Linked DNA regions of Anolis sagrei. The protein of the gene in region 2 purifies or fractionates together with the protein of the main gene of each other region. This does not show direct contact. Links are inferred from orthologs where the notes say so. Each region holds a gene or a part of one and is shown on either strand. Other genes may lie near its edges.

Evidence for each region.
Region 1: the proteins of VAMP4 (region 2) and VTI1A purify together in Homo sapiens (affinity purification with mass spectrometry; 4 studies listed by BioGRID and IntAct, counting the BioPlex papers as one, with this or other methods). This does not show direct contact. The link is inferred for Anolis sagrei from reciprocal best matches to the Homo sapiens genes VAMP4 and VTI1A.

What each region holds. Positions count from the first base shown.
Region 1 is NC_090023.1:208,321,268-208,337,333, forward strand, and holds the start of VTI1A (vesicle transport through interaction with t-SNAREs homolog 1A), read right to left. Parts: upstream 7,070-16,066; 5' UTR 6,897-7,069; coding exon 6,803-6,896; intron 2,834-6,802; coding exon 2,775-2,833; intron 1-2,774. UniProt on the Homo sapiens protein: V-SNARE that mediates vesicle transport pathways through interactions with t-SNAREs on the target membrane. These interactions are proposed to mediate aspects of the specificity of vesicle trafficking and to promote fusion of the lipid bilayers.
Region 2 is NC_090024.1:130,542,308-130,558,215, reverse strand, and holds the start of VAMP4 (vesicle-associated membrane protein 4), read right to left. Parts: upstream 8,075-15,908; 5' UTR 7,951-8,074; intron 3,205-7,950; 5' UTR 3,152-3,204; coding exon 3,086-3,151; intron 2,220-3,085; coding exon 2,173-2,219; intron 997-2,172; coding exon 946-996; intron 1-945. Other genes in the region: ITPA (inosine triphosphate pyrophosphatase), read right to left, coding at 13,115-13,238, 14,608-14,684. UniProt on the Homo sapiens protein: Involved in the pathway that functions to remove an inhibitor (probably synaptotagmin-4) of calcium-triggered exocytosis during the maturation of secretory granules.

The DNA.
Region 1 (16,066 bases), on a different chromosome or scaffold from region 2:
GGGATTTACCTATAGGCAGACTCATTGTTAAAAAGTTGATTAAATGGATCTAGTGTTCAACTTAACTAATAGGATTCAGGCAAAACTGTGAAAGGGAAAAAGGTAGTAAAATGCCAGTAACCAAGAAATATTCCTAAAACAATTATGTTTTTGAGGATAGAAGTTATATTGTGACTCCCCACTGTGACAATCATGCACTGTTTAGTACTGTGCAAGACTTTGTATTAAGTATGTCTGCATAAGTTAAGTCATCTAGACCCATACCAACTTTAATCAATGAACATGACCCTGCAGATCAGCCATATGCTGCACAAGTCACTGTAATAAAGGATCTTCCTCAGATGGTTTTTATTACTCTTTTTGACCCCAAATGTGTTTATTTTATATATATAACATTCTCAGGCTATACAGGGTAATATCAGGTATGGCCAAGTTTCTCAGAGTGTCTCAACCCACATAGCACCAAGCTGGCAAATCCTCATATTGTGGTTTTAAAATGTGGGGTTGAGGAGCAAAGATTTTTCCCTAACTTCAGAAGACGCAATCAGTTATCCAAGCTCAGTCTGTACAATGTGACAAACAAACACAGGCCATCTGGGATCCAACACATGCTCATCTGCCTACCTTTAATTTTCATTGCCTGCAATCTCTTGCTACAATAGTGAATCTGGGCCTACAATGACCGTCAAAAGTAGGGGTGGAATGCAGGGATATATTATGCATTGGAGAAATGAGCATAAAGCTTAGAATGCTTTCTATGACAAAGTGACAAAGAGCACATTTTTAAGACATAGAAGAACAAAAAGACCCATAGAACAGAGAAACAAGGAAATGGAGCGACAAACATAGAAATGGGCCTGTGGGCAGTGTGCCAAGGATGAAAACAATTTCCCCATTTTTAGGGGCAACAAGTGATGAAAGCTGACTCTGGAGACCATGGCTCAATTCCCCACTTGGCCATGGAAACCCACAGATGAACTTGAGCAAGTCACTCAGCCTGAGGAAACTCTATAATAGCATTGCCTTGGGGTCTCCACAATTTGGAAACTATTTAAAGATGCACAACAACTCATACATAGCAGAACTCCCCCAAAACCCCACAGCCCACAAACAAATTAGATGGCCACTGGGAATTGCTAGGCCATTTCTTGCCCCAAAACCATCACAACAGCTTCCCAATCACTCCCACTCATGTGGTTTGCATTCTTTCCCCACAACACCTCAGAAAACTGCTGACATGCTGCCAACATACCAAAGTGGCCCACAGGGAGAAACTACCCCTATCCAGGTGCAATACCAGAGAAGCTTTCTCAACCTAGAACTCTTAGGTTGTTTTAGTCAGGTCAGAGATCAGGCTTCTTTTACATGCTAGCATGTTAGAGGAGACCCCAGACCACTACGACCAACTTGCCACATTATATTGACTCCTGCCCTTCCTAGCTTACTAAAAGATGCTAGGAGAGACTGGCAAAGTGGGTAGAGGGAATGGCCAATTATTCACTAAAACAAGGAAGATTATATTTCCTTTGAAAACCCAGATTCACAGCTTGGGTTTACTCCTAAATTCAACCTTGGGTCTGGAATCAAGTGACATTGGTGGCCGGGAAGACATTTAGCTACACGTATTCATAGAGACATGTGACAAATAAGTATACTATTATACTGCTTGCTTTTTTCATAGTCATACTTTCAAATGATTTTAAAACTATTGATTGTTTAATTATATTCTCAACTGTATGCAATTTTAATTTGTATTTCTTTATATACTTATTCATATATTTGTCACTGTCCACCTTCTAACTTTTGTAAGACACTTTGAGTTCCTGGAGAATAGGATAAATAATAATAGCACTAATTCAACTCCCAATAGCCTTAGTTACTGTGACAGAAAATATGGGAGTTGCTGTGATAAACATGTAGGTTTGGGAAAGCATGTACTGTGGAATGCAGGAAAAAAATCTCTTATATCAGTCTTTAGCCATCTATTCCTACTGTCTTTTCTTAATATCTTCTCCAGTCAGTTTCTATTGTCTCTCTCTTCTGTGGACACTTCCTGACTTTCAAGAGTTTCCTTCCAATAATCTTAATAAAAGTCGGGACATCAGCAGCACTTCTTAGAGAAGTCAAACTTGGCTATGGTGTCATATGCCTTAATTACATCTGCTATAACAGGTCCAAGATACAGCAAATAGGTGAAGCTAGTAACAGTGAACATGTAACACTTGTTGAAATAGATTTTATTGCCCTATATAAATTTGCCAGAGTCTTTCCACAGAGAAGGATATTTTTTCCAGTCCTGCAACCATCACATATTCATTTGGTAAAAACATGGGATATAGCTTTCTCAGTGATTGTTACTGCATTTTTCTGGAATTCCTTTCTGTTCATTTCAAAGGTAGACAACTGACCTTTTATTCAAACAGGAACTAGGTTGTGTTAATTGATTGGAAGAAGTCTCTTTTATGGGAGGGGTATTCAGCATTATTAATAGTATTGTTCATTTAAAATTATTGTACACTTTAAAAATTTTAATGGTGTTCCAATCTGATCACCTGCTTAATTGTGTTGAAACTTTTTAATACTGATTTCTAGCCTTTATCTTGTGTCAGTTGTTTTGTACATTGTCTTGGGTTCCATGTTAGCCAAAAGACAGCATACAGATAAAATTCAGTAGACAATGAGCCATTAAAACATTCTCCCAGTTGATTATATGTAGTAGCATGTCACCATTTCCATCTGTGTTGTCCAACAGCAACTGAGAGACCACAGCTTACCAGCTCTCTTGCTTCTTCCAGCTGCTTCTCCACATTTGAAACCATTTGCCTCTTCTCATCTAAGAATAATAAAAAAGAACAAGTGAAAATCTGGTGAAAATCAACTTCTACTATAAATATTTCACATAACTTCAGGGAAAATTAAGGGTTTCACCAGCAATTTATAATTTAGTCTGTATATTGCATTGCTTGAAGAACATGTTAAAGGAATGGCTCTTGTGGGTACATGTGCAGTGTAGGGTGGGGGAAGTTTTATACCAGTATTCATATTTTTGGAACTCAGTTTTACAGTAGTGCAAAAGGGGCCTTTAAATTTGGATAGAAAAAAAGGAGGTGATAAGACACACAAGTACACCAGGAAACAAAGCCAGAAGGGATGAAGACAAGTTATTCTAAGTCCCTATGAACTTTTCAGAAGGTGGAGGCTAGCAATCCTATTCATCTCTTTGTAAGTGTGTAAATTAAATACAGGTCACAAACAGGATAGGTTCTGTAGGTTTGTTCTTAAGTTGAATTTGCATCTAAGTCAGAACAGGTACATTTTAAGTATAACTCCAGATACACATACACACATACTCTTTGGATAGCATGAGGAAGAGTTAATGCCCCTGTGGTGTTTGTTCTGCTGTCTCTGATCCTGTTTAGAAGATTTTACCTCACTTCTTGTCTGTGTGAGACTTTGATTTTGAACATTTTGGCTGGTTGTGGAAACAAGGTTTGGTGATAAATCTCCAGTGGAGACATCTTTTCCTCGTGACCACTCTTTCAGGAGTGAATTTCCCTTCCTGGAGATAGATTTCTCTGGCTTCCTTGCTTCCTGTTGTCTCACTACCATTCTTAACAATGAAGCAGTCACTTGTAAATCGGATGTTTGTAGCTTGGAGACTCCCTGTGTACTACTTAGGGTGAATCTACACTATAGAGATAATCCATTTGACCCTACTTTCACTGCCATGGCTTCACGCTGTGGACTCATGAAAGCTGTAGTTTTCCATGGCAGCCTTCTCTGCTAAAGAGTGATGGTGCCTTACCAGACTACAAATCACACACTTCCATAGCATGGAGCCATGGGAGTCAAAGTGCTATCATACTTCATCTATTACTGTATGCAAACCAGGTTTGTGAACTCCGGGTAAACCATGATCCATTTCTGTGTCCTGAATTGCAATGGAGGTCCCAATCAGTTTTTTGGGAGCCTCCCGAATTTGGGAGGACAGATATCCGTTTTCAATTTGGGAAGCTGAAATATTCATTTCCTATCCGGTCCATTGGTCGCAATGGGGGGGGGGGGACTTCTCACAGGCTCCCCTTCCTGTCATTTTAAGCATTGTGTTTGTCCTTATATTCTTCATTAAGACCTGGATTTAAAGCATCAAAATTAAAATACCATTCTTTCTATAATCCTTGCCCTTCTGTCTGCAGAGGAGACAGGATTAATGCTTTGTTAAGGCTGTTTTTTCTCTAGAGGAGACATGGACTGCAGGTTCATGCTCTCGCACTCTCTGCAGTAGGTAGTTTTCCAAGGCATTTTCAGTAGGCTTCCCATTTCCCAGGGAAGGAAAAGGGATTGACCTGGAGGCATCCTACCCTGGGCTTCCTTTAAAAAGCCCTCTCTTCTCTCTTGATTTGAAGGTGCTGGAGTGGAAAGGAGAACTAACGTGCCTTCCCCCCCCCCCCCTCACACTTCAATCTCCTTTCTGCTTACAAATCAAGAAAGGGCTTAAGGAGCCTCACTTGTTTGAATCCTTTTCCTTCTAGTGGCTGCCTACCTCCCTGCACTATATGTGTAACCGAAAGAAGTCAGTTTTCAACAGCCACTGTTTTGTTGTGACCAGTAAAAAAATGGTGGCAGAGTCCATGCCACTATGGGCTTCCAAACCAACTGAACAAGCCAAAGGCAAACATCCATAACCCTAATGCACACCCTTTAATGTATTTCCCAGCTCAGGAGGCTCTGAAGCCACACATTTCCTTGGGGAGGGAGATGGGAGGAGGATTGGCTCACAGAGTAAATCATTCACACGGTACTCACACCCTCACCACACCTTCAGAGTGAAAGAGAGGCAAACAGGTCAAGATCCCACCACATGGGATTCCCCAAGGTAAAGGAGGCACATGTTGTGCCCATCTGAACCTGGAAACTGCCCCCCCCCCCTTCACAAGAAGCACATGTTTTAGGAGACATAACTGGCCTGCATAGTCAACAAACAGTCTGGGTTCAAGTGCAATAGAGAGCGGTGGCGTCAATAACAGTCCAAAGTTCTTCACAACAATCAAGGCCCAAGTTGGTTGGGTTGAGGCAAAAAAGTAGTTAAGCAGTCCGTTTTCAAGCACTAAGCTAGTTATACAAGAGAGATTCCTTAGGTGCTGCTCTGGCAGCGGTGGAAAGAAAGATCTGCAGTCTTTTCCACACTTATTTGGGAAGAAACCCAACTGAGTTCAGCGGGATTTCCCACTCAGGATGAATTTCCCCGCTTTCAGGTGGGTGCATTCAACATTAAATGAAAACTTTATTCCAGTGGGGGGAAATGGTGTTGTTTCAAGGTACTTCTGCTTCAAAGTGGATGAGTAGACTCCAAAACTGGGACTCAACCACAAAGAAGCCGTGACATACATACACACACAGTGAGCAGCATTAATAAAGTTTAGCACCACTTAACAGCCTTGACTTAACACTTAACAGGGAGGCCCTGCCTTCTTCACAGGTGCAACTGGCGGTGATGAGAGACAGGTCCTTCTCAGTGGTGGCCCCTCAGTTGTGGAATGCCCTCCCTAGGGATATTAGATCAGCCCCCTCCTTCCTGACCTTCCGTAGAAAAGTGAAAACATGACTTTTTGAGCCAGCCTTTGAGAACCTAGTGAAATAGATAAATACAGAATTATGTAAAATCCTATACTGGAACAGCTTAGACAATGATTTTGGACAATGAGGCTAATTGTGAAGGTAGTGGCTTTATATGATTTTTAAGGTTTTTATGTATGTATTTTATAATGCTATTTAAATGTTTATTGTAATTTTTACACTGTTTTAATGGCATTGAAGCTGCCTATATTGTAAAGTTGCCTTGAGTCACCTTCGGGTTTGAGAAAGGCGGGCTAGAAATATAGCGTAAAAAATTAATTAATTAATTAATTAGTCCCAAATGCACTTTAGTAGAGATCTAGGATCGTCTGCATGCCCCATCTATCTTCAAAATACCTATCCTATTTCACCTGGTCACCTGGTCATGCCCAGTATTTTTTAACAATTTTAATTATTACACTTGGCCCTATCATAGGTTCTTTTAATGTGTCGTGGTGTTATTGTTAATGTTTACTGCTTGTTTACGAGTTTATTGATGTATTGTTGTTTTACTGATGTATTTGGGCTCAGCCTCTTGTAAGCCGCACCGAGTCCTTCGGGAGATGGTAGCGGGGTACAAATAAAGGTTTATTATTATTATTATTATTTTGTCGTGTCAGGAGCAACCGCTCCTGTTGTGACAGAATTGGCCGTCTGCAAGGACGTTGGATGATTTTTGATGTTTTATCATCCTTGTGGGAGGCTTCTCTCATGTCCCCGCATGAGGAGCTGGAGCTAATAGAGGGAGCTCATCTGCCTCTCCCTGTCGGTCTTCAGTCCTGCCGGCACAGTGCTTTAACCCACTGCGCCACCGGGGGCTCCTATTATTATTATTATTAACAGCCTTGATTCAATTATATGAAATCTTAACAGCTGTACTTAACCACAAAGAAGTCCTGACATATATACACACGCACAGAGAGAGAGAGAGAGAGAGCAACATTAATGAAGTTTAGCACCACTTAACAGCCTTGGTTCAATGCTATGAAATCTAAAGAACTATACTTTTACGAGGCCTTTGCCCTTCTCTGCCAAGGAATGGAGGTGCCTCACCAAACTACAACTCCCAGGAGGCCACAGCATTGAGCCATGACTGTTAAAGGGGTGTCAAAGGCCCTGCCAAAGCAAGGGGCGAGAGGAAAGGCAGAGGGGCCGGGAAGGAGCCCCCCTCGGCCCCAGGACTCACCTCCCAGCAACTTGGGCACCTTCCCGATGCGGTTTGTGATCTCAGCGCTGAGCACCGAGAAGTCCTGCTCGTAGCCCTCGAAGTCTGAGGACATGGCGGCCAAGGAAGGACAGGCCTCGGCGGCTAGATGGGCGGAAGGGAGGCAACAGAAGCCCACAGGTAGCCCGCCTCGGAATTGGGGGTGCTCACGACCCGCGCCCCCCCGGATAACGCAAACTCAACTTCGCCGCTGCTCCTGTCAGGGCTGTACTTCCGGGTTGAGCGTCACCAACAACAGTCCCCTGAGGAACCTCATCTCGCAACCAAGGTTCCGGGTGCTCGTCCCAATGGGAATGGAGGGCAACTAGAGTCCATCATGGATGATGATGATGATGATGATGATTATTATTATTATTATTATTATTATTATTATTATTATTATTATTATTATTATTATAATATCTGGAGGCATGCCTTTTAGACTTTGTTTCATGCACAAAAACATTTCAAAGACTGCATATACATAGTCCATATCAGACTATGTGCATAAGATGTACATCATACCTGAATAAATTACACCAGGTAACAAAATTCGGGGGGGGGGATATTTTCCTGGTTTGAAAATGTTATTTCCTGTTTAATTGTGCAGTGCTTACTCTAAAAGTAGTTGTTCTACTCCAGAAACTACATTTTTATGGCTTTTTTTGGTCATGTCAGGAGTGACGAGAAACTGCAAGTCGCTTCTGGCGTGGCTGCACAAACTATGTTGAATTGGCTGAGACTCTATTCATTGAAAAACTATAGCAAAATATGCTGCAGGATGTTGCACAAAAGCAAAGCTTAATTTTTTTAAAAAAAATCCCATGTTTTTATGATAGCCCCAATTAGGAAATGACATTGATAACACAGGAACAAAAATGTTATGACTTGGGTCCCACCTCCAAGATGTCTCATTATGTAGAGGCAAAATATTCCAAAATCCGGGGGGGGGGGGGAGGAAATCCACACGTAAGAGAGACATTAGGGTGCATCTACACTGTAGGGGCCTCCTCGTGGTGCAGCAGCTTAAACTGCTGAGCTACTGACTCAGCAGTTTAACTGACTAATGTAATGCAAATGTAAGTAAATCAATAGGTACTGCTTCTGCAGGAAGGTAACAGTTTTCCATGCAGTCATGCTGGCCACATGACTTTGGAGGTGTCTACAGACAACACTGGCTCTTCGGCTTAAAAATGATCTAAAGATTGATCTTTTAAAAAACTGCATGACTTCTCAGAGTGCCCATGAGCACATTTCCTCAGAAAATATTAAGCCAGGTCGGCCCCAACCCTCCTAACATTTCGAAAAAAAGTTTAAACCTGGCTTTTTGAGCAAGCTTTCCCAAATGCAGTGTAGCAGACAAACTCTGATCTTCGGAACGACTGGACAATGTGATTGGGTAATGAATTGAGTAATGAGACGCTGTGGATTTAGACTTCTATCAGTTTCATTATATTTTGTCAAATGTTATTTATGCTAAATGTTTTAATTGTTCTTTGTTATTGTGGGCAGCAAATTGTACTGTTTGTAAACCTCCCTGAATCGCCTTCAGGCTGAGAAAGGCAGTATATCAATATTTATTTATTTGTTTGTTTACAGTATTTATATTACGCCCATCTCACCCCGGAGGAGACTCAGGGCAGATTACAATGTACACATATATGGCATACATTCAATGCCAAAGATGCACAACAGATATAGACAAACAGTCAGAGGCTATTTAACTTTTTCTGGCCGCCAGGGGAGCTGTTGCTTTCATCGTCCATCTGCAACGCTGATTAAGTACTTCCGCATTCCCCGCATGCTTTTGCTGGAGTCTTTTTTATGGCCTCGTAAATTTTGTTAAATTTTTGGGGGCCCGGTGGCGCAGTGGGTTAAAGCACTGAGCTGCTGAGCTTGTTGACCAAAAGGTCGCAGGTTCGATTCCAGGGAGCGGCGTGAGCTTCCGCTGTCAGCCCTAGCTTCTGCCAACCTAGCAGTTCGAAAACATGCAAATGTGTGTAGATCAATAGGTACCGCTCCGGCGGGAAGGTAACAGCGCTCCATGTGGTCATGCTGGCCACATGACCTTGGAGGTGTCTATGGACAACGCTGGCTCTTCGGCTTGGAAACGGAGATGAGCACCACACCCCAGAGTCAGACATGACTGGACTTAATGTCAGGGGACAACCTTTTTAACCTAAATTTTGTTAAATTAACCTCCCCACACATAGGTGCTACCTACTTTTCCTACTTGGCAGATACAACTGTCTTTCGGGTTGCAAAGGTCGACAACAAGCTACACAACTGGTCGGAAGCTCACTCCGATTTGGGCTGGCTTCGAACTCATGACCTTGTGGTCAGAAGAGACAGCCCCGATGGTTAATAAATAATAAATAATAATAGTCAGGCACAACTAGACTTAATGTCAGGGGAAAACCTTTATCTTTACCATACAGTGTAGAATGAATGCAGTTTTGGCACCTCTTTAACTGCCATGGCTGAATTCTATGGAATCATTGGATTTTCACAATGTTTTGAGCCTCTTCCGCCAAAATGTGCTGGTGCTTCACCAAAATACACGATTCTCTAGCATTGAGCTAAAGTGGGATCAAACTGCACTGATTCTTCTGATGGCTTTGCGTGCTGAGAGGTAAGAGGAGGGACTCATTTGCGGGCGGACTTGCCAGGCTGTTGAGGGCGAGGCGAAGTCGGGGCGGAAGTGAAGGGTTTTGCGCATCCGGGCTCCCAGACAAGGTGCCCGGAGGCGGGGAAGTGGGCGAAAGGAGCGAGGGCGGGCGCGCCAAACAGAAACATAACGGAGCCAGAGGCTGCAGAGGAGGCGGGAGTCCCGGGCCCTGTCCTGGTAAGGGGTCACGAGGCGGGTGAGAGGGGTGCGGGACCTCCCTGGCTCTGCTTGGGAGCCTCTGCTTCATCTCCTGGGTCCAAAAGCAGGAAGGAGGAGGGAGTGGCTGGTGGCCATTGCCTCCAGGCTTCTTTCTCACACCTCTGGCTTTGCCTTGGCCATCCCTCCTTCTCCCTCTCCTTCTTTTCAGGGGATTGCTCTCCATCACAGCTCTGCACATTTAAGAGTCATCAAATCTCCAGAGAGAGAGAGAGAGAATGTCATATGTTAATAAAACCAGAGTGCATTAATATAACTTATGATATAGCACAATATCTTATGTAATACTAATAGTATAATATACTGGTAGTGTAATTGTGGTATAATAATATGGTAAGGGTAAAGGTAAAGGTAGTCCCCTAACATTAAGTCCAGTCATGTCTGACTCTGGGGGTTGGTGCTCATCTCAATTTCTAAGCCGAAGAGCCAGCGCTGTCCGTAGACACCTCCAAGGTCATGTGGCCGGCATGACTGCATGGAGCACCGTTACCTTCCCGCCGGAGCGGTACCTATTGATCTACTCACATTTGCATGTTTTCGAACTGCTAGGTTGGCAGAAGCTAGGGCTGACAGCGGAAGCTCATGCCGCTCCCCGGAATTGAACCTGCGACCTTTCGATCAACAAGCTCAGCAGCTCAGTGCTTTAACCCACTGAGCCACCGGGGGCCCTAATAATATGGTAGAATCTATATAAATAAAAATGTAATGTACGTTTGTGGGATTAACTCTATATAAATAAAAATGTAATGTACGTTTGTGGGATTAACATAACTCAAAAACCACTAGACAGATTGACACCAAATTTGGACACAATACACCTATCAGGCCAACGAGTGGCCATCACTCATAAAACACTGAAAAACACAGCAGAAGAGACTTAAAAGCTAAAAAATACATTACAATGCACGCGCATAACCCACATATATACACAAATATACACACACATATATATACACATATACACAGACTAGGCCACAGCAACACATTGCAAGGGGCGTCTAGTAAAATAATATAATTGTATATTATATATTACATGTAAAATTACTAATAATATTGTAGTATAATGGTGGGGGCCCCCGGTGACACAGTGGGTTAAACCGCTGAGCTGCGAAACTTAGAATCATAGAATCAAAGAGTTGGAAGAGACCTCATGGGCCATCCAGTCCAACCCCCTGCCAAGAAGCAGGAATATTGACCAAAGGGTCACAGGTTGGAATCCAGGGAGTGGCGTGAGCTTCCGTTGTCAGCACCCAGCTTCTGTCAACCTAGCAGTTCGAAAACATGCAAATGTAAGTAGATCAATAAGTACCGCTCCGGTGGGTGGGAAGGTAATTGCACTACTTGCAGTCATGCCGGCCAGATGACCTAGGAGGTGTCTACGGACAATGGCGGATCTTCGCCTTAGAAATGGAGATGAGCTCCGATCCCCAGAGTCGGACACAACTGAACTTAATGTCCTTTACCTTTTGTTGTTGTTCATTCGTTCAGTCACTTCCGACTCTTCATGACCTCGTGGTCCAGCCCACGCCAGAGCTCCCTGTTGGCCGTCACCACCTCCAGCTCCTTCAAGGTCAAGCCAGTCACTTCAAGGATACCATCCATCCATCTTGCCCTTGGTCGGCCCCTCTTCCTTTTTCCTTCCTTTTTCCCCAGCATAATTGTCTTCTCTAAGCTTTCCTGTCTTATTATGTGGCCAAAATACTTCATCTTTGTCTCTAATGGGTATCACTTCAGCGGGAAGGTAACAGCACTCCATGCAGACATGCCAGCCACATGACCTAGGAGTTGTCTACAGACAACGTCGGCTACCTTCTTTGCCTTCGTCTCTTTACTACAGAAAAATACCAAATGTGTCATCAAATTGCTAACAAAAAAGATACAAAAAGCCTCGTGAACATAATTTTCAGTGAAATTGGAGAATGGTAGCATTAACTATCACGAAATCATGATCTAAGTTTATTTAATGCTTTAAATACATTTACCACTTGTATTTAGAGTTCTATAGCAGTTATTATTATGCTTGCCTCACTTAGAAAGCATGGGACTCACAAGAAAGCGTCATACATTCCTTAGTTGATAACTCATGAATTTCCCATGGTATCTTCATATTAATCATATTATTTTTTAACAATTTCTTGGTGATTTGTTCCTTAGTACTTAAACTGTCCTTTTAATGATGATGATGATGATGATATGTTTATTCTTGTATCCCACCACCATCTCTCCAAAGGTACTCGGGGTGGCTTACACATGGCAAAAGGTGCCTAAAACAGAGCATAAAATGTAACACAAAGTTAGATGCCTGCCAGATTTTGGCAGTTATTTTTAGGATAATCATGTAATCATTGCCCATTTTTATCTGGGACCCCAAAAGTAAGATTTCCCAGCTCTTTCCTCTTCTGATTGTCCAATAGAGTTCACACACCCTGTAATGTAGGAAGAAAAAGAACCAGATAATTCTAGATAATTGCCTTTTTTATTTGTAGAAAGTTGGGAGCTTGTAGTCCTCACATAAAGAAGTTATTTCTTCTTGTCTTGCAAGTTTAAGCGTTGATTCTTCATTATGTGTACAGTTTTAGACATGCAGGTAGGGTGTGGTTAACACCGTCAAATTTTCCCCATCATGTTTTTGAGCTCTTCTCTAAAATGAAGCTGGCACATCAAAATTAAGAACCAGCACAGTACAGTCATGACAGTTTTGGAGAGACCTGGTTTGAAGTGACTTCAGACAATTCCCATTCTCTGAGCTACAAAGGAAGGCATGGGCAAACCTCTGAATACATCTTCCCAAGGAATCCCATGGCATTACTTGAAGGAACACAACAATAAGCAAAACTGCAATATCTTCCATCCAAACTAGTAGCTGTTGTATTGCCAAATGGAAGAGAATGACAAAACTCAGTGCTGCAAACTAGCATTGGCCTTAGGGGAGAATAAGGCATTGGTCTCCTTAAAGGAAAATATTTCCCCTGACATTAAATCTAGTTGTGTCCAACTCAGGGTTGTGGTGCTCATCTCCATTTCTAAGCCGAAGAGCCGGCATTGTCCATAGACACCTCCAAGCTCATGTGGCCAGCATGACTGCATGGTGCACTGTTATCTTCCCACAGAAGTGGTACTTATTGATCTAATCACATTTGCATGTTTTTGAACTGTTAGGTTGGCAGAAGCTGGGCCTAACAGTGGGAACTCACCCCACTCCCTGGATTGGAACCGCTGACCTTTTGGTCAGCAAGTTCAGCAGCTCAGTGGTTTAACCCTCTGTGCCACCAGGGGCCCTATGTTATGTTAAATGTTATGTCTCCTTAGGTAAAGGTAAATGTTTTCCCCTCACTTTAAGTCCAGTCTTGCCTGACTCTGGGGGTAGGGGCTCATCTCCATTCCTAATAAAAGAGCCGGTGTTGTCGATAGACACCTCCAAGGTCATGTGGCTAGCATGTCTGAATGGAGCGCCATTACCTTCCCGCCTGAGCAGTACTCATTGATCTGCTCACATTTGCATGTTTTCGAACTGCTGGTTTGGCAGAAGCTGGAGCTGACATCGGAAGCTCACGCCGCTCCCTGGATTTGAACCTGTGAACTTATGTCTCCTTATGTTATGTTAAACGATTAGGCAAAAGTGATGGTCTTTGGTTCGTAGTAGACGTAGTTAGAATATAGCTTCTGTCCTGCATGTATCCTCCCTCTCATTTTGAGGAAAGTGTGTATTGCTTCTTCTAGAACCCTCCAACAATAGCAATTCAATCTTTATATCAGACTTTCTCAAACTCTGCTCCTCCAGATGTATTGGACTTCAGCTCTCACAGTTCCTAACAGCTGGTAAGCTGGCTGGGATTTCTGGGAGCTGAAATCCAAAACACCTGGAGGAGCAGAGTTTGAGAAACACTGCTTTAAATGCATCACAGTGTCCTTTTATACCATTTAACATAAAGAAACACCCATTTAATTTGGTCATTTGGAGGCAGTTGATACATCCTGTGCATAAAATTGGCTCACCCTGCTTTAGACTGAGTACAGTGTGAGAAAAGAAGTACGGGTAATGCCTACAAAGTTACATACTATTTTTTGTCACTTGTGTGTGTAACCAATAGGCCTGGGTAACAACGGAAAAATTTGTTTCTAAAATCGATTTGTATTTGGGGGGGTTTTTTGTTTCGATATTTAAAATAATTACAAAATTTTCCCTTAAAAAAGTTCGGTATTTACAAAATTTCGTAAATGTGAAAAAATTTACAAAACATTAACGAATCGATTTCCGAAACAATAACGAATCGATTCGTTAATGGCGGACGCGACCGCGAAATACGCTAAAAAACCTCCAAAAACTTCTGAAGCTTCCCTCTCCCTCTGTTGTTGACTGTTGGTGTGATATTATAATTTTTTTTCACTAATTAAACAAAAAACTTGCCCCAGACATGCGGAAATAATAACGAAACGACCTCAGAACAATAACGAAACGAATACAATAACGAAATACGAAGCATTTACAAAACGTGTTTAAAAATTCGTTTTTTAAAAAAATTGCTCCAGAATGGTTCGTTATCATTTTGTAATTGAAAAAAATAACGAATTATTAATGAATTACGAATTAACGAAACGAAACCGCCCAGCCCTAGTAACCAAGGCTATTCTGACATCAGCTTTTAAAAAGGAAGTACTATATTGTGAAATCCTGAAGCAGAGGGTAAACTCTTCCATCCTCATGAAAGATCTGGGATTTGAGGGCAGGATTTCAACCCTCAGTATTCAATCCAATTGATTTCCCTTGGTCCAGCACTCAGAAACTTAGATCTTCACATGTTAGTGCATCACTTATGGAATTTATTTTTTTAAATGTGGTAAAGAAAATACTTTTCCCCAGCTTTGTTAAGAATCACCACTTTGTACAATGCTCACTGTCATTTTTGCACTGTGCTAACTGCTTCTCTTCTGAAGGCAGGCAATTTTCCTTCATTCCTGTATAACAGTGGTTCTCAACCTGGGTCCCCAGATGTTTTTGGCCTACAACCTTTGGCCATAAATCCCAGCCAGTTTACCAGCTGTTAGGATTTCTGGGAGTTGAAGGCCAAAAACATCTGGGGACCCCAAGTTGAGATCCACTGCTGTATAAGGTTCTATGATCCAAGCATACCTGAACTAGAAATCTAGAAATACGAGTAGTGTTCCTTAGCCTTTTTTTTTTTTTGACGGATTATAAGTTGTCAAAACACAAGACTGCATTCGTTTCCATGTTGTGACAACAGACTTTTCATTTGCAAACACAAGCAACTGAGCAAGATTTGAGATGTATATATTTAAAAGAACACTTATGAATGTTTAATAAAAGACTTCTGTATAATTTCTCTATATCGAAGAAACTATTATAGTGGGTTCTTTGTATCCATTGTAGTTTGGTTCAAGGGCGCTCTGTAGATACCAAAAGCTGTTATGCACAATGGCAAAGTGATATGATGTCCCTTATATAAAATGGCAAAATCAAGATTTGCTTTTGGAATATATATTGGTGGATGGTTGAATCCATGGATACAGAATCTGTAGATATGGAGAGCCAATTGTATTCCTGAATGGACTGTTGTTTTGTCCAGTTTACGAGATTCCTGATTTGTAAGAGCATTAAAGCACCTCATTCTTGATTCAGATATTATGTGAAATAGTTCTGTTATGCACCAGAATATAAGTGACAAAACTAGGCGTATGTCAAAAAGAGGAAAGCACATGAGCCCCTTGCTCATTCTTCAGTAGAAACTATGTTTTTCTTAATTTACTCTATTTATACCCTGCCTTTCTCTACCCCGAAGGGGGTTCAAGGCAGCTTACATAGAGGCAATTATTCAATGCCTTAAAACACATACAATTCCAAAAAAATAAAATTAAATTAATTAAAATTAAAACATGTTTAATAACATGTTATTTTAAATGTTTAATAACATTTAAAATATTACATTCCATATTAAAAGCACACCATCCATAGTTATAGCCCCAAGCCCTTCCATAGTCATTCCATATATTCCAAATCTATTATTAATTTATCTTTTCAGGAGCTAACCAAACCAGTTGTATTGCATTATATTTATTTATATATTTATTGTGTCAGGGGCAACCAGACAATTGTATTACATTTCTAACAGAACAAAACAAACAAACAGACAAAAAACACAAAATTTGCAAGCTTGGTAGTTGATTAAATGTCCTTTGACCAATAACTGGCCACTTGGAGTGCCTCTGGTGTTGCCACAAGATGGTCCTCCATTGTGCATGTAGCAGGGCTCAGGTTGCATTGCAGCAGGTGGTCAGTGGTTTGCTCTTCTCCACACTCGCATGTCATGGATTCCACTTTGTAGCCCCATTTCATAAGATTGGCT
Region 2 (15,908 bases):
TCCATATTTCCTTTTGTAGACATAACAAGGGCATATGGCACATACAGTATTTGGCCAGGAAGGACATGGCAGGATAGCAAGGACACTACTATTTGGTCCATACTTAATTATCCAATCTATACTCTCCCTACCTAATAAGTTTTGGGATGGAAGACTGCCCCACAAATGCCTAAGCATGATAGAATTGTTCTCTGAAAAAAATCTTATAGGATTCATATGCCAACACCCTTATGGATGTTAGTCTAGTCAAAACTGGAGAAGCACATGGAACTGAATGAGACCAACAAAGGACCAGCTCAGAAGTGCAATATAAAACCCAATGACCTAGTTTCCATTCCAGAACATCAACTATTATGATGACAAATCCAGAGAAAAGAATCCTGTACAATACGATAATTTATAGTATATGCATAATTATCTTTTTAAAAAATAAATAAATAACCAACTAGTATTTGGGCACAGAAAAGGAACTGATCATTCTTCCTCCACAAAAGAAATGGTGGGCAAAAGAGTTCAGCAACACTCTTAGAAAAAAATATTTTCATAGAAAGTGTTCACATTATTTTGACTTCTACTCATTGGTTTAGTTCAGGTGATTACTGGTCAATTTTTAATTCCTTCCAAATTGTTCCATTGTTTTGAAACAGATAATGCCTACTTTCCATAAGACCCCATGAATTATTAGCTTGCTGAAGCCTTAAATACAGCACATCAATGGGAGAGGGAGTATTTAGCAGAAAAATACACTTGCTGAATATTAACATACAGTTTTAAATATGAATTCTTGGGGGTCTACATTACCCAACTTATTTTGTTGTTAACAAGCCATGGAAATTGCAAAATTCTAAACTCAATCCAGTTGTGGCAGAAATAATAATTGAGGCTAGAAGTTTTATATACACTGTTAATACAAAACAAATTTTTCAAATGTCATTAAATACTTACTGCCTGATCTTTTCATTCTTTGGCCCAAACTTTGGGCCCGATGGCCCTCTCCTGGAAAGAGATGATACAAATGACTGGACAGATAAGATCAAACATGTGGACAACAGCTACTTATCTATGCTAATGGACAAGCAGCAAGCCACATAGCTAGGTAAGAAGCAGGCTCTTGAAATCCTGGTGCCTGATTAAGAGAGGGACTATTAAAGGACATCACATTGGTACCTTATATAGGGCAGCATAACAAACATTTCTCTTGAGGCTACAGTAAGGAGAATAAAATGTGGAATCTTTAAACTTTAATGTTCACAATAGATGCTGGAAAGAGCTCCAAGTGAATCATTCAGTGCTCCACATAATTATGGAGACAAAATCCTGATATTAAATAATGTTAACTGGGCAGTAACAACACCAAATAATCCCCAGGATTCAATGCCAGGTTCAGAAAATCTAATCGCCATTCCAATGAACAGGTTGTTCGGTTGACCCTTCTCCAGCCCTGGGAGATTCAGATTGAGGCTCTGTATCCAGAAATCCACAAATCTCTAAAAGTGAAAACTTTTTGCTACCAGCCCCATGTTTTTGCCTTTGGGACAACAGCTGCAGCTCTTCTGCTTGTTCATATCTCAGATCCTTAGTCTATCTCTCTCTCTCTACAATGAGATGAGAGACTGATTTGTAAAATGAAAGAAGGCACGTATTTGTGAAAGGTCATGCCCCCATTTTCCCCTACTCCCTTCCTACTCGTTATTATTGGCAGGGACAGGCAAGGCAGGTGGCAAGAGGGGTGGTGGTGGTGAGTGTTCCAGTGAGGTGAGGTGGAGCTCTCTTTTTATTCCCATTTCTTCTTTCTCTCATGTTGGGAAGTGAGAAACATCATGTTGGCCTGTTTTTCTTTCTCTCTTCAAACCTCTCTCTTACTCTTACCCTCCTCTCTCTTTCCTTTCTGTCTTCCTCCCTTCTTCTTCTTCTCTCCCTCTACTGCAACCCTATAGGCAGCCTCTGCCATGTTGATCATGTGGCATTCCCTGCAATGATCCCTCACAGCAGCCCCCTTCTCAGAGACAACACAAGCAAATAAACAAGATGCAAGGCTGGACAGAGATGGGTGATATATTAAATGGCGGAAGGAATATGGGTATTTTGGAAAACAGGCATTCCAGCCCTCCCCACCCTAATATAAAATTATGAAACACTTCTCGCCCCAAGCATGCCAGAACCTATACTTACAAAAAAAAGTCCTCCTCTTCATCAGAATCTTCCTCAAGGAGGTTTCTCTGTAAAATACACAAAATTGGTAGATCTCAAACAACAAATAAATGTCTACTTTCTCCCACTTTTTACAGAAAAATAAATCTATGGTTCCCTGACATATATTTCATCTTAAAACTTTCAAGAAACTGAGCATAATGTCACTAACAGATCTATACCCTCAAACTGTTTCTTTCTGTTTATGCAGACTATAAACCACTGTAGCAGTTTACCTTGATTACTGAAATTCATGATTCAAATAGACATAGTAAAATTATTTTATTAGTTTCTGCTGTTTCCTTAAGAAATACATGTCAATTTAAATAGCAATACTAGACAGTCTCCTGGGGCTCCAGATACTAAGTAGACCATGACTAAGTAGACCATAACCTAATCAACAAGACAGGATGACTGTGGACCATTCTTTAGAGCAGAGCTTTCCAAACTGTGTACTGCAACATGTAAAGTGTGCCAGCTGCAATGTGTAGGTGTGTTGCATGAAAGTAAGGAAAAATGACAAAAATCTTGGAAATGTATGTGATTAGCTTACAAATCTGATATTTTAAAAATGGAAATGAAAGGTTTTTGTGAGATATGTTGTGTCCCCATATATTTCATTATTACAATTTATTTTTGTGTCTACATCTCCTATAAGGGGTTGGTTTAACCTCCAGTTTGCAAGTAAAACATAATTACTGTGTCATGAAAATATGTGTGTCTAACCAGTGTGACATCACCATGAAATGTTTGGAAAGCTCTGCTTTATTCTTGGGGTGTGATTGATAATTTATGGAGGCCCTTCAAATGGGCTAGTTCTGTAATTCCTGGACACTGATATGTCTACATTTTAAATGTGAATGTAAAAAGAATCCTATTACCCTTATGTACTCACCCTCTCACTTTTTACTGACCCAGTAACATCATCATCATTGAGGTGCCGCTTGAATTTTGGAGGCATGTTTTTATACAAGTGTTGCTCTTAGCTGCCCAAAACGAGAAATGGAAAACTGCCTAGGAAAAGAAGGAGAAAAGCAAAATTACAGTACTCATTTAGTTAGGGTTCAATTCTCAGCCAAACTGTAAAACTTACAATGTGGTCACAGTTTTCCTATATAAAGTGATTAACTAAGCATGGAATCTTACATGCTTTTTAAAACAGCATCAATAGAATATGATCTTTCGTGTTTAAGTATAATGGATCAATAATGTTCAAGACAAATAATATCTTTTAAGGAGATTATTCTCTTCGAGACATATGATAAAGATGATTTAATGTTTTCTTTTTAAATCCTGTCAACATCTTTAAGCTTACCACTTGTATGCAAAAAGCTTCTAACCAAAGGGCAAACTTTTAAATATCTTACTAATATAACTACTGGGTATATGACAAGCAGAGGGAGTTTTTAAAAGATTTCTTAAAGATTCTTTTTCACAAGCAAGATAATGGATAGTAATTCCTTTTTAATCAGGGCCATTCTGACATGGAGGTGGAAAAGGTCATTTTAATACTACTCTAGTTTCTCCTGTTCTTCCACACTACCAGAAAATTCAAAACTCTACTGAAGGCAGCAAGTCCAGTTTTTTGGATCAGATCAGCCAACTCATATGTTCAATTATCTCAGATGCTGCTCAAGAACAGATATTCAAAAACATACAGACTTTACTCATAAGAATTTTTACATGTTTTCTCTGACATTCACATTTTAAATGATTTCTCATAGCAAAGATTTCACAGACCAGCATAATAGTACTCTTTGGAGACAAACAATGGGATAAGCAGTTTAGATGGTTCTGGTCCAGGCTAGTTAATTAATCACATTCCTACATACAGGGTGAGGCAGTATAACTTCCTTTTTTTTAAAATGCGAGCCATTCACGTAGCGGAGCACTAGTGATCTCGTTCGAGAGACGGGAGTATAAAGTTTTGTCCTGACACAGTTCAGTCGCCATCATGCGTTGGAACAGTGAGGAGCGTGCTTTTGTTGTTGAGGCCTACTTTTCAAGTGGATCTGGAGTGGCTGGCCCGCTCTCCAGATTTGGCCCCTTGTGATTTTTTTTTCTATGGGGTGTTTTGAAATCCCGTGTTTATGTGAACCATCCAAGGACCCTACTAGATTTGAAGACCAACATCCAGGAAGAAATTGCCAACATAACGCCTGCTATGCTGGCAAGAGTCAAGACAAATGCCAGAAATCGGTTTACTCAGTGTATGGAGAATGGGGGATGTCACCTACCTAATTTGATCTTCAAAATTTATTTATTATTTATTTACAGTTTTTATATTCCGCCCTTCTCACCCTGCAGGGGACTCAGGGCGGATTACAGTATACACATATATGGCAAACATTCAAACTACATAAAACAAAACATTAGGTATGCACCTATATTATAATTTTTTTCTGATTCATACAATTGGTTTTATTAAGTTTTGAAAAAAGGAAGTTATGCTGCCTCACCCTGTACCTAAACAATGGGATGAACCTCTTGACAGAATGAACTGCTCAGCTGTGGGATAAACAGTTTAGATGGTTCTGGTCCAGGCTAGTTAATTAATCGCATTCCTACATATAAACCAACATGGACACTGTGGTCATTGGAGGGGGCCCTACTCTCAGTCCCACCCTGTCTCAAGTGTGGTTGGTGGGAACATGAGAGGGCCTTCTTTGTGCTCGTTCCTCCCGCTGGAACTCCATCCCTATGGAAATCAGAACCTCTTCACTCCTCTCCTTCAATAATCACTTTAAAACATACATTTGCACATTAGCCTTTGGAGAGGAAGATTATTAGCTCTTTTTTGTTTGTATCTTGTCTGACGATGATGATCATATTTCCTTAACATACTGGATAGCCAAGTTATTGTATACAGATGTGCCTTCCCAGAATAAGGAAAACTCTCAGTAATATGCCCTCAAAATGCACTTTACCACTGATTTAGGACTGACGTGTTCCCTCATTTCTCTCTGAAAATCCTATCCCAGTTATATCCTACCTTGTTCACATCAGTATTATTTTTTAATTTTAATTTATTACATTTGGTCTGTCCATTGGCCCTTGCACTGTGCTACTCTGCTGCTGAGTACGCATGCCCAATGTGGAACACATCTCACCACACTAAAACAGTAGATGTGGCTCTTAATGAGACATGCTGCATTATCACAGGGTGTCTGCGCCCTACACCACTGGAGAAATTACACTGCCTAGCTGGTATTGCACCACCTGACATCCGCCGGGAAGTAGCAGCCAATAGTGAAAGGACCAAGGCAGAGACATCTCCAGCTCATCCCCTGTTTGAGTATCAGCCAGCATGTCAACGACTTAAATCTAGAAATAGTTTTCTAAGATCTACAGAGACACTCGCTGGAGCACCTCAGCAAGCGAGAGTCCAAAAGTGGCAGGCTCAAACCCAGAACCTCAACCAATGGCTGATACCAAATGAGGACTGGGCGACTTGGAAGGCGCTGAACGGACTGCGCTCTGGCACCACGAGATGCAGAGCCAACCTTCAGAAATGGGGCTACAAAGTGGAATCCTTGACATGCGAGTGCGGAGAGGAGCAAACTACTGACCACCTGCTGCAATGCAACCTGAGCCCTGCCACATGCACAATGGAGGACCTTCTTGCGGCAACACCAGAAGCACTCCCAGTGGCCAGATACTGGTCAAAGGACATTTAACCAACTACCAAACTCACAAATTTTGTATTTTGACTGTTTCTTTGCTTTGTACTGTTAGAAATGTAATGTAAATGTAAACTCCAGGCATTCTTGGTAGACACTGATTATCTAGATCCGGCACAGTCTGGTTTCAGGCCGGGACATGGTACCGAGACAGCCTTGGTCGCCTTGGTGGATGATCTGCGCAGGGAGCTAGACAGGGGGAGTGTGTCCCTGTTAGTTCTGCTGGACCTCTCAGCGGCCTTCGATACCGTCGACCACGGTATCCTTCTGAGACGCCTTGCGGGAATGGGCCTTGGTGGCACTGCTCTGCAGTGGCTCAGGTCCTTCCTAGAGGATCGTACTCAGAAGGTGTTGCTGGGGGACAATTGCTCTACCCCACAACCATTGACTTGTGGGGTTCCGCAGGGCTCAATATTGTCCCCCATGTTATTTAACATCTACATGAAGCCGTTGGGAGAGATCATCCGGAGTTTCGGAGTGCGGTGTTATCTGTACGCAGATGACGTCCAACTCTGTCACTCCTTCCCACCTACTACTAAGGAGGCTGTTCAGGTCCTGAACCGTTGCTTGGCCGCTGTATCGGACTGGATGAGGGTGAACAAATTGAAATTGAATCCAGATAAGACAGAGGCACTCCTGGTCAGTCGGAAGGCCGAACAGGGTATAGGGTTACAGCCTGTGTTGGACGGGGTTACACTCCCCCTGAAGACGCAGGTTCGCAGCTTGGGTGTGATCCTGGACTCCTCGCTAAGCTTGGAACCCCAGGTCTCGGGTCCAGGGGAGCATTTGCACAACTCAAACTTGTGCGCCAGCTGCGCCCGTACCTTGGGAAGTCGGACTTGGCCATGGTGGTCCACGCTCTGGTCACATCCCGGATTGATTACTGCAACGCGCTCTACGTGGGGTTGCCCTTGAAAACGGCCCGGAAGCTTCAGATGGTCCAGCGCTCGGCAGCCAGGTTGCTAACAGGAGCGGCACTCAGGGAGCACACCACTCCTCTGCTGAGCCAGCTCCACTGGCTGCCAATCCGCTACCGGGCTCAATTCAAGGTGCTGGCCTTGGCCTATAAAGCCCTAAACGGTTCTGGCCCCGCTTACCTCTCCGAACGCATTTCCGCCTACGAACCGACTAGAACATTGAGATCGTCTGGGGAGGCCCTGCTCTCGATCCCGCCTGCGTCACAGGCGCGCTTGGCGGGGACGAGAGACAGGGCCTTCTCAGTGGTGGCCCCTCGGCTATGGAATGCCTTACCAACAGACATCAGACAGGCACCTTCGTTGCTGGCGTTTCGGAGAATGGTCAAGACCTGGCTTTACGAACAAGCGTTTGGCTAGGCAATGCAACTAACTAAGGAAGACGGTAACTGAACATAGGAACGGCACAATGACTATGAGAATGGATCTGACTTTAACGGAGGCGCTATATATGTTGTTTGTAGATTTGTCTGTCTGATGTTAATTGTTGTGGAGCAACATTGTCGTCCCGGTTGTTGTATTGCTGTGTTTTTAAGTGCACTGTAAACCGCATTGAGTCGCCCGTCAAGGGCTGAAATATGCGGTATAAAAGTGAAGCAAATAAATAAATAAATAAATAAATAAATAATAATTGACTGGTTGCCCTGACACGACAAATAAAAAATATGAATTGTTTTGATTGTTTTATTGATGTTTTGTTTATTGATGTATCGTGGGCTTGGCCGCACCAAGTCCCTTGGGGAGATGATACAAATAAAGTTTTATTATTATTATTATTATTATCATCATCATCAGCCTGTGGTGTTATTTACGGGGTCGCTCGATTACATGGTTTATTGTTTTTTATTTGTAACTGTGCGTTTTAACTGCTTGTTTGTCTCTTTTGTTCCTATGGCTGCCTTTGGAAACCGCCCTGAGCCTCCCTCGCCCTTCCAAAGGGCCAGCCCTCCATTGGCCAAGGGTCCCACAGTCGCTTGCAGTATGTCTGTGTGGGAGGGCTTCCTCTCACCCGACGCCCCCTTCCCACAGGCCCGCCTTCGGGGGGAGCTCTCCCTCGTTGGCCACCCCGGCCTTCTGCCTCCCTCTCCCTCACCCTTGTTCCTCACCTTATCCGACGACTTCCATCCCCTCACACATACGACGGAGCCAGGCCTCTCAGGAGCGCATAGGCTTCTTCCCAGAAAACCCCGCTCTTCTTCACTGACTTCCTGTTCCGGACCGGCACGGAAATGACTGAGGAGACGGGGTGACGTCAGCGGCTCTCTCAGTTGCCGAAAGCGTCCCTAGAAGCCCTGCTCGCGCGACTTCCGGTTCCTCGCGCTTTGCCTGGAGGGGGGCGCGCGCGACGGAGTCTTTCCTTTCCCAAGAAAGGCGGGAAAGCGTTGGGAGCTTTAAAGGGCGTTTCTGTGACCCCGCGGCCTCTCTGCGAGGCCTCGTGCCGGAGAAGCCTGGGGCAAGCGCTTGGAGTCGCCCCAAAGCAGGCCACGGTGGGCCCTCTCGCTCCACCTCTGACTCTCCGCCTGGGAGTATCGTCCTGCGAAGGCTTTTCGCCCTGAAGCAAAGTAAGGACTTCATCACATTGAGCTGGAGAAAACGAGGGAAACCATGCAAACCTTTGGGCTGTTCTAAAACAAATGGGAGTACCACAACATTTGATTACTTTGATGTGTAAATCAGGCTCTGAACAAAGTAGCCACTATCAGGGCATAGTATGGCAAAACAGAATAGGCTCCAATCAACAGGATGTTCATTCAGATAAAGGCTGGATATTATCACCTTATATTTTTAGTTTATGCACAGGACGTATCATAACAATAGTAAACTTTGGGTTGTTGTAGGTTATTTCGGGCTATATGGCCATGGTCTAGAGGCATTCTCTCCTGACGTTTCGCCTGCATCTATGGCAAGCATCCTCAGAGGTAGTGAGGTCTGTTGGACCTAGGAAAAAGGGTTTATATATCTGTGGAGTGACCAAGGTGGGACAAAGGACTCTTGTTAGTTGGAGCTAGGTGTGAATGTTTCAACTCACCACCTTGATTAGCATTTATTTATTTCTCAATTCTTGTGGATTTTTTCGGGCTATATGGCCATGTTCTAGAGGCATTTCTCCTAACATTTCGCCTGCATCTATGGCAGGCATCCTCAGAGGTGAGGTCTGCTGGAGCTGGGAAAAAGGGGTTTATATTTATTTATTTATTTACCTACCTTACTTATATACCGCTGTTCTCAGCCCAAAGGCGACTCACAGCGGTTCACAACAAATACGAACAGCAAAAATTCAGTGCTACAGTATAAAAACAGTTAACAATCTAACACATTACACAATTAATAAACAGTTACTACAATACCCATTCACTGTCGTCTCATAATCAAAAACATGTTCCAGATTCGTCATCCATTGTTCCATTCCAGTGTTCATTAACCAATCATTGCACTAATTATTCGAACGCCTGCTCAAACAGCCAGGTCTTCACTTTTTTGCGGAATACCATTAGAGATGGTGCTAGTCTAATGTCCGTAGGAAGGGCGTTCCATAGCCGAGGAGCCACTACCGAGAAGGCCCTATCTCTCGTCCCCGCCAGCCGTGATTGAGAAGCAGGCGGGATCGAGAGCAGGGCCTCCCCGGAAGATCTCAAAGTCCTGGTGGGTTCATAGGCAGAGATGCGGTCGGATAGGTAGCTTCACTTTTGATGGTCTGGCAGTTGTTTGGTGTGGCTTGTTAGTGCCTGGGGTAATCTTTTGTTGAGAGGTGATTAGGTGTGCCTGATTGTTTCCTCTCTGTTGTTTTGCTGTTGTAATTTTAGAGTTTTTTTAATACTGCCAGGCCATCAAATTCTAATCAAGGTAGTCAGTTGAAACATTCACACCAAGCTCCAACAGACAAGAGTTCTTTGTCCCACCCTGGTCATTCCTCAGATATATAAACCTATTTTCCTACTTCCAACAGACTTCACTATCTCTGAAGATGCTTGCCATAGATGCAGGCGAAATATCAGGAGAGAATGCCTCTAGAACATGGCCATATAGCCCGAAAAAACCTACAACAATCCAGTGATTCTGGCCATGAAAGCCTTCGACTTTATTTATATCCCGCTGTAATGAAATGTCTAATTAAAAATGGAGGTTTTACATATGTTTATTGATATTATGATATAGGTGCAGCTGATGGGTAGCCTGAGCTAAGGCATTGCCATAGCGACATAGTCCTCAAGGCAGAAGAGAAAGCGGCGGAGCTAACTGCCACTGTTTGAAAGAACACAACTTGAAAAGAGTCAGTTGGTGCCCAGATGAACCAAAGGATGGTTGGTTGTAGTTGTGTGGAGCTAGACCAAGTAGTTTAAGTCTCTGACAGGTAGTCAGAAGGAATAGGTGGCTACAGGTAGTGAGCCAAGTGTTTAATCTTCAGTGTTGAGTAAGTAAGGGTAGAAATATTTAAGTCTGTAGTATAATCTAGCTGGGTTGCTAGAAGAAAGGGATTCCAGGTAGTTTTATTTATGACTTCAGTGTCAAGCCTGAAGCAATAAAAGTGGGACTGAGAAAAGAAACTAAGTTTCAAAGAAAAGAAATAACAAACATTAAGGAGAGAGAAGATAAGCCATTGTTAAAAATTTAATAGTAACAGTTTCATGTTCTCCGAAGAACCAACAGTTAAAAAACAGTTTTTTAAAAAACCGTCAAGCTTATGTGAACCTGAGAAACCTTTAAATAAATGTTGTTTCTGATCAGTTCAAAATACTGAGTGTTTGTGACTACTTATTAAAGAGAAGTTTCTCCAGGAAAGAGAAGATGAGATCTTGTGGAACCGAAGACAGTTTTATGGCACTGGGATACACATATTAAAGTGACACAAACAGGTGTCCTAGAAGTCATCTCTCTCATATAAACCCCACTTTTTATTTATTTATATATATATATATATATATATATATATATATATATATATATATAAACAAAGTCTCAGCAACACGCATCATCTCTATCTTGGGCTCCTCATATTATTATTATAAGTTTATAATTGGAGGCAGAGGTGAGATAAGAAAAACAAGATCCATCCTGCCTCGCGACAGAAGTGTTTGCCCTACTTTTGTTTACACCCGCCCTATCTCAGACTCGGGGGGGGGGGGGTTTCCAACAAATAACAGCAAAGATGCAATGCTGTAATAATAAAGACATTGCTATAAAATTTGAATAATGACATTACAAAAATTACATTACACATCTAACAATTGAAAGACAAGACGTAGGATTAAAGGTAGTGGCAATATAAAATTGAACATGGAGTCCATTCAGATCTGCCTTTCATAATAAGAATAATAATTGTTATGCCATGACTTGGAAACTCCAAATGGGATGAAATGGTACGTTAGTGAGGAATTGCCAGCATTTTTATTATGGAGGTGGAACATTCAGGTACAGTAATTACTTTGGATGCCTGAATATATGTCTATGTGATTCATGGCCTGTTTCAAAATTGAGAAGGGGACATTTCAGGATTTTTAAGGAAGATTAAAATGCCATCAACATACAGAGCTGTTTTATGACAGCAGCAATAAACTTGGGTCACATGACATTAGCCATAGAGAAAGTAACTATAATCAGAGATTGTAACATTATTTTTAAAGGAATTGGTAACTTTCCATGGAACTCTCAGTTCCGGGACTGTGGCGCAGCTGGCTGAGTGTCAGCTGCATTAAGATCACTTCTGACCAAAAGGTCATAAGTTCGAAGCCAGCCTGGGTCGGAGTGAGTTTCCAACCAATTATGTACCTTGTTGTCGACCTTTGCAACCCAAAAGACAGTTGCATCTGTCAAGTAGGAAAATTAGGTACCACCTTTGTGTGGGGAGGCTAATTTAACTAATTTATGAGGCCATAAAAAGACTCCAGCAAGCATGCGGGGAATATGGAAGTACTTCATCAGTGTCGCAGATGGAAGATGAAAGCGACAGTTCCCCTGGCGGCCAGAAAAAGTTAAATAGCCTCTGACTGTCTGTCTATATCTGTTGTGTGTCTTTGGCATTGAATGTTTGCCATATATGCATACATTGTAATCGGCTCTGAGCCCCCTGCGTGGTGAGAAGGGCGGAATATAAATACAGCTAATTAATTAATTAATTAATTTCTGCTGAGTAGCGTTAACAAAACACTCATTGCTAAATCATCACTCTTGTTCTTACTATTGTAGCAATCATATGAAAAGCAGGATTAAAATTGGACAAAGGAGGTCTGGCAACTAGAGGATCTTTGTCTTTTACTTTACTGGGCTTTGATACTTCTTTGGGCATATCTACACTAACGACTTAGGTCAGTTTGAGGTGCAATCAACCCCATGGTGGATAAATGCCACACAGGGCTGTTCTGGGTTAACCCAGGTTAAACTCACTTGGGGATCAACAGGAATCCTCAACAGCCATTCCACACCCTTTGGGCTCAAAATGCAAACTTTTGTGTTTATTTTAGAATCATAAGAGACAAGAGCTTGTAATTCATCTTCCTCACCTTTCGTTTCTCCCCCCCCCCCCCCCCCCGGCGCAATGAAATTTGTCTTATTACATGTATGCTCCTCTGCTATTCTCAGGTCAGGAATTCACTCCCAGTTGAAAAGAGCGCCTCCATTTTGAAATACAGGGTGAGGCAACATAACTTCCTTTTTTAAAATGCGCGCCATTCAGTCGGTTGAAGACGTAGCGGAGCGCTAGTGGTCTCGTTTGAGAGGCAGGAGTATAAAGTTTTGTCCTGACAGTTCAGTCGCCATAATGCATTGGAACAGTGATGATTGTGCTTTTGCTGTTGAGGCCAATTTTTCGAGCAGATTTGGAGTGGCCGGCCCACTCTCCAGATTTGGCCCCTTGTGATTTTTTTCTATGGGATATTTTGAAATGCCCTGTTTATGTGAACCGTCCAAGAACCCTACAAGATTTGGAGACCAACATCCAGGAAGAAATGGCCAACATAATGCCTGCTATGCTGACAAGAGTCATGACAAACACCAGGAATTTGTTTTGAGGAGAGGGAATATTTTGAAGCCATGGATGACTGGATCTATGTATACAGAATCTGTGGATAAGTCGGGCTAACAGTACTAATGTATCTTGAAACCCTTTGAAATCTTTATTTGTTTGGAGAACTTTCCTTCAGGAACTGTGAGGATATGCCAAGAGATCTTTAAGAAAAGTAGTTTTATTGTATATGATCTATGCAAACAAGCAAATCATGATATCATTTTCCAATCCCAATTTTTGTACAACACAGCATCCTAGACTATAGCAGACTAACTGAAGCCAGATGTGGCCTCTGTTGAATTGTTCTGTTCAGCAAAATATGTAGACAACTCTTTCAGTGCTTTGTAACGATGAGAGATAGTGTTTTTCACAGACTTAGGTAATTCAGCATACCTGGGAAGGATAAGAAGAGAACACATTTATCAGAAACTGGGGCAGTCCGGTAATTCTATAGCAGAATTATGATGTGTTTAAAGCTGCAAACCACAATAGCCTTCCAAATGTTCAATGTTGGTGTCACACTTTTTAGACAAGTGTCATTTTGTGACACATTATTTCAGTTTTACTTGTAAACCAGAAAGGTGTGTTCTTCCTCAAACTTGGCACTTGCTTGAAATTCACCCCCCCCCCCCCTCCAATATGCCTGCTGCAAGCCCCCTCTGTACAAGTTTCTTGGGTGGCAAAAGGCCCAGTGGTGAAAAGGAGAACCACAAGGAGTGGGTTCAAATTTTGCCAGACGATGATGCTCACTTCCAGCTTGCCGGACTTGGTCATCCCTCCTCAGCAAACCCGACAGCGGGGTAGGTAGGGAGGGAGGGTAAGCACGCAATCCATACTATAGAGTGAAGCACTGCTTTTGCTGAATCTATCCCATTGTGAAAACTCTGTGTTGTGTATCCCTTGAAGGAAAGGCAGCACACGTGGTGGGCAAAACCACAGCTGTTGGAGGGAAAGGGTAGGACTGGGAGAGATGGCGAGAAGAAATGCTGAGTTGAGTTGAATTGAATGGGAAGACGCAAATGGAAATACCCAGGAACGAGGGAGGGATGTCTCACAGCCTGAAGGGCTCAGCAGATCAATGCACCACAGCCCTGGGTCCCTGCCGTTCCTCACACCAGGTGTGAGCCCTATGGAACACACTCCCAAATGAGGTAAGATCTGCTCCCTCCCTCCTGGCTTTCAGAAAGAAATTAAAATCATGGCTTTGAGACCAGGCCTTCGGACAGTAGATGTTTGTAGAGTTTAAAGGACATGGACTAGAATGACAATACAACTGGTGAGACTGTTTTTATTATTTATTGTTTTAATGATTGCTTATGTACTGTCTAATTATTATTTATGTTTAATTGTGGTTTTATTATTGTGGTTGTTATGGATTGGCATCGCGTCAGTGTCCAATGTATGGCATTGAAGTTTTGCCAGTTATGTGTAAACCGCTTTGAGTCCCCCTAGGGGTGAGAAAAGTGGTATAGAAATACTGTAAATAGAATAAATAATAAATGACACATCTAAACATTGCAGCTGACACACAAATGCAACACACCATTTGGAAAGTTCTGGCCTAAACAGTGAGTTCTCCACAAGTGTTACAGTGCTATGGAATATATCTACATGAAAACTTCACTGCTATCAATATACATATGCACACTTAACATAACCCCGTTAGCATCTTATTTAAATCTATAGCACACAAACTAGCCAGGATATTCTTACTAGCCAATTCTGTCTGTTGAAAGCAGTGAGTAGGCAAACAGTCACTTACGTCTTGTCATAACCCTCTGGCTGGAAGCATGGATCCCATCCAAAGTCTCTAGGTCCTCTTGGATCAACTATATGTCCCTGTAAATTGATACATATGGTAAGGAATGTTGTATGTTCTGTGTTAACATGTGGTACCTGGCACCAAGTCAAAAATAACTATATTTGATTGCTGAAAATTTATGAGGTGCAGATAAGCAGAGAAAACAGGATAGTTTTTCATATATCAGCATCCTTCAAAGTCACCTACAAAATTCAAACCAGAGTGTGCTCAAGAAGAAAGTGGATACATAAGGACACTTGAAATATAAGAAGAGCAGATTATGAACCAAATGTCATGGTACAGAGAAGCCTAGAACAACAATCCTCTTCAGTAGATAACCGTGTTTAGCTGGGCCTCTCTGTTCTTTCTTGCCAGCGTCATGAAAACCTGGCAATGAGAACATGACTGAACCACATACATTTCGCCTAGACACAGGAGGCACTTACTGTATCAATATCAGGCATTTTGCCTTCACAATCCACACATTTCTTTAACAATGTAGTGGAAGACATGGCAGGAAACAGTGGCAATAGAAACAGACAGATCAGGTGAAGCCAAAAACCGTAAGAAACAAAAACCAAATTAAATAACCATAGGAGAAAGCTCCCCCCCAAAAAAAACCCCAAGAAAAAGTGGAATATAGCAAAACAAAGCAAAAGCAAGTATAAGGTTCCCAATGGAGCTACTGTAGTGGGGGACAAAATGCACTGGGGATTTTGAGAGCAAGCAACTATTTATGGGTGCAGTTACTGTCAAAAACATATCTTTAAATTCTAGAATGTTCCAAAGGAGCTCAGTGCAGGTGCAGATTAATCCATTGTGTGATTCACAGACCACGAAGCAGCAGCCTTGATATATGTCTGGATCTGCTGTGCTCAAATTCTTACCCTTTATATGGCAGGGTTATCATTTTGGTTCCTCTGTAACAGGTCCCACCACCACCACCACTATCACCACCACCACTAAGTCCCACAGGGCAGATGCAGTCATTTGCTCTAAGTCTGAAACAACTGGAAGGCACACAACAACAATCCTAACTAACTTGACTATCACATCAGCCAAAAGCAGACCAACACTTCCCACTGTAGTACTGGTAAGTCTATGTTAGTTAAAAATGTTCTTCATTTTAAATATTCTCTCATGATTTTGTTGCACTACAAATAAGATATGTGCAGAGTGCATAGGAATTCATTGGGTTTTTTTTTTCAAACTATAGCCCCTCAACAGTCTGTCAAACAAATATGTCAAAACTCTTCTTTCCC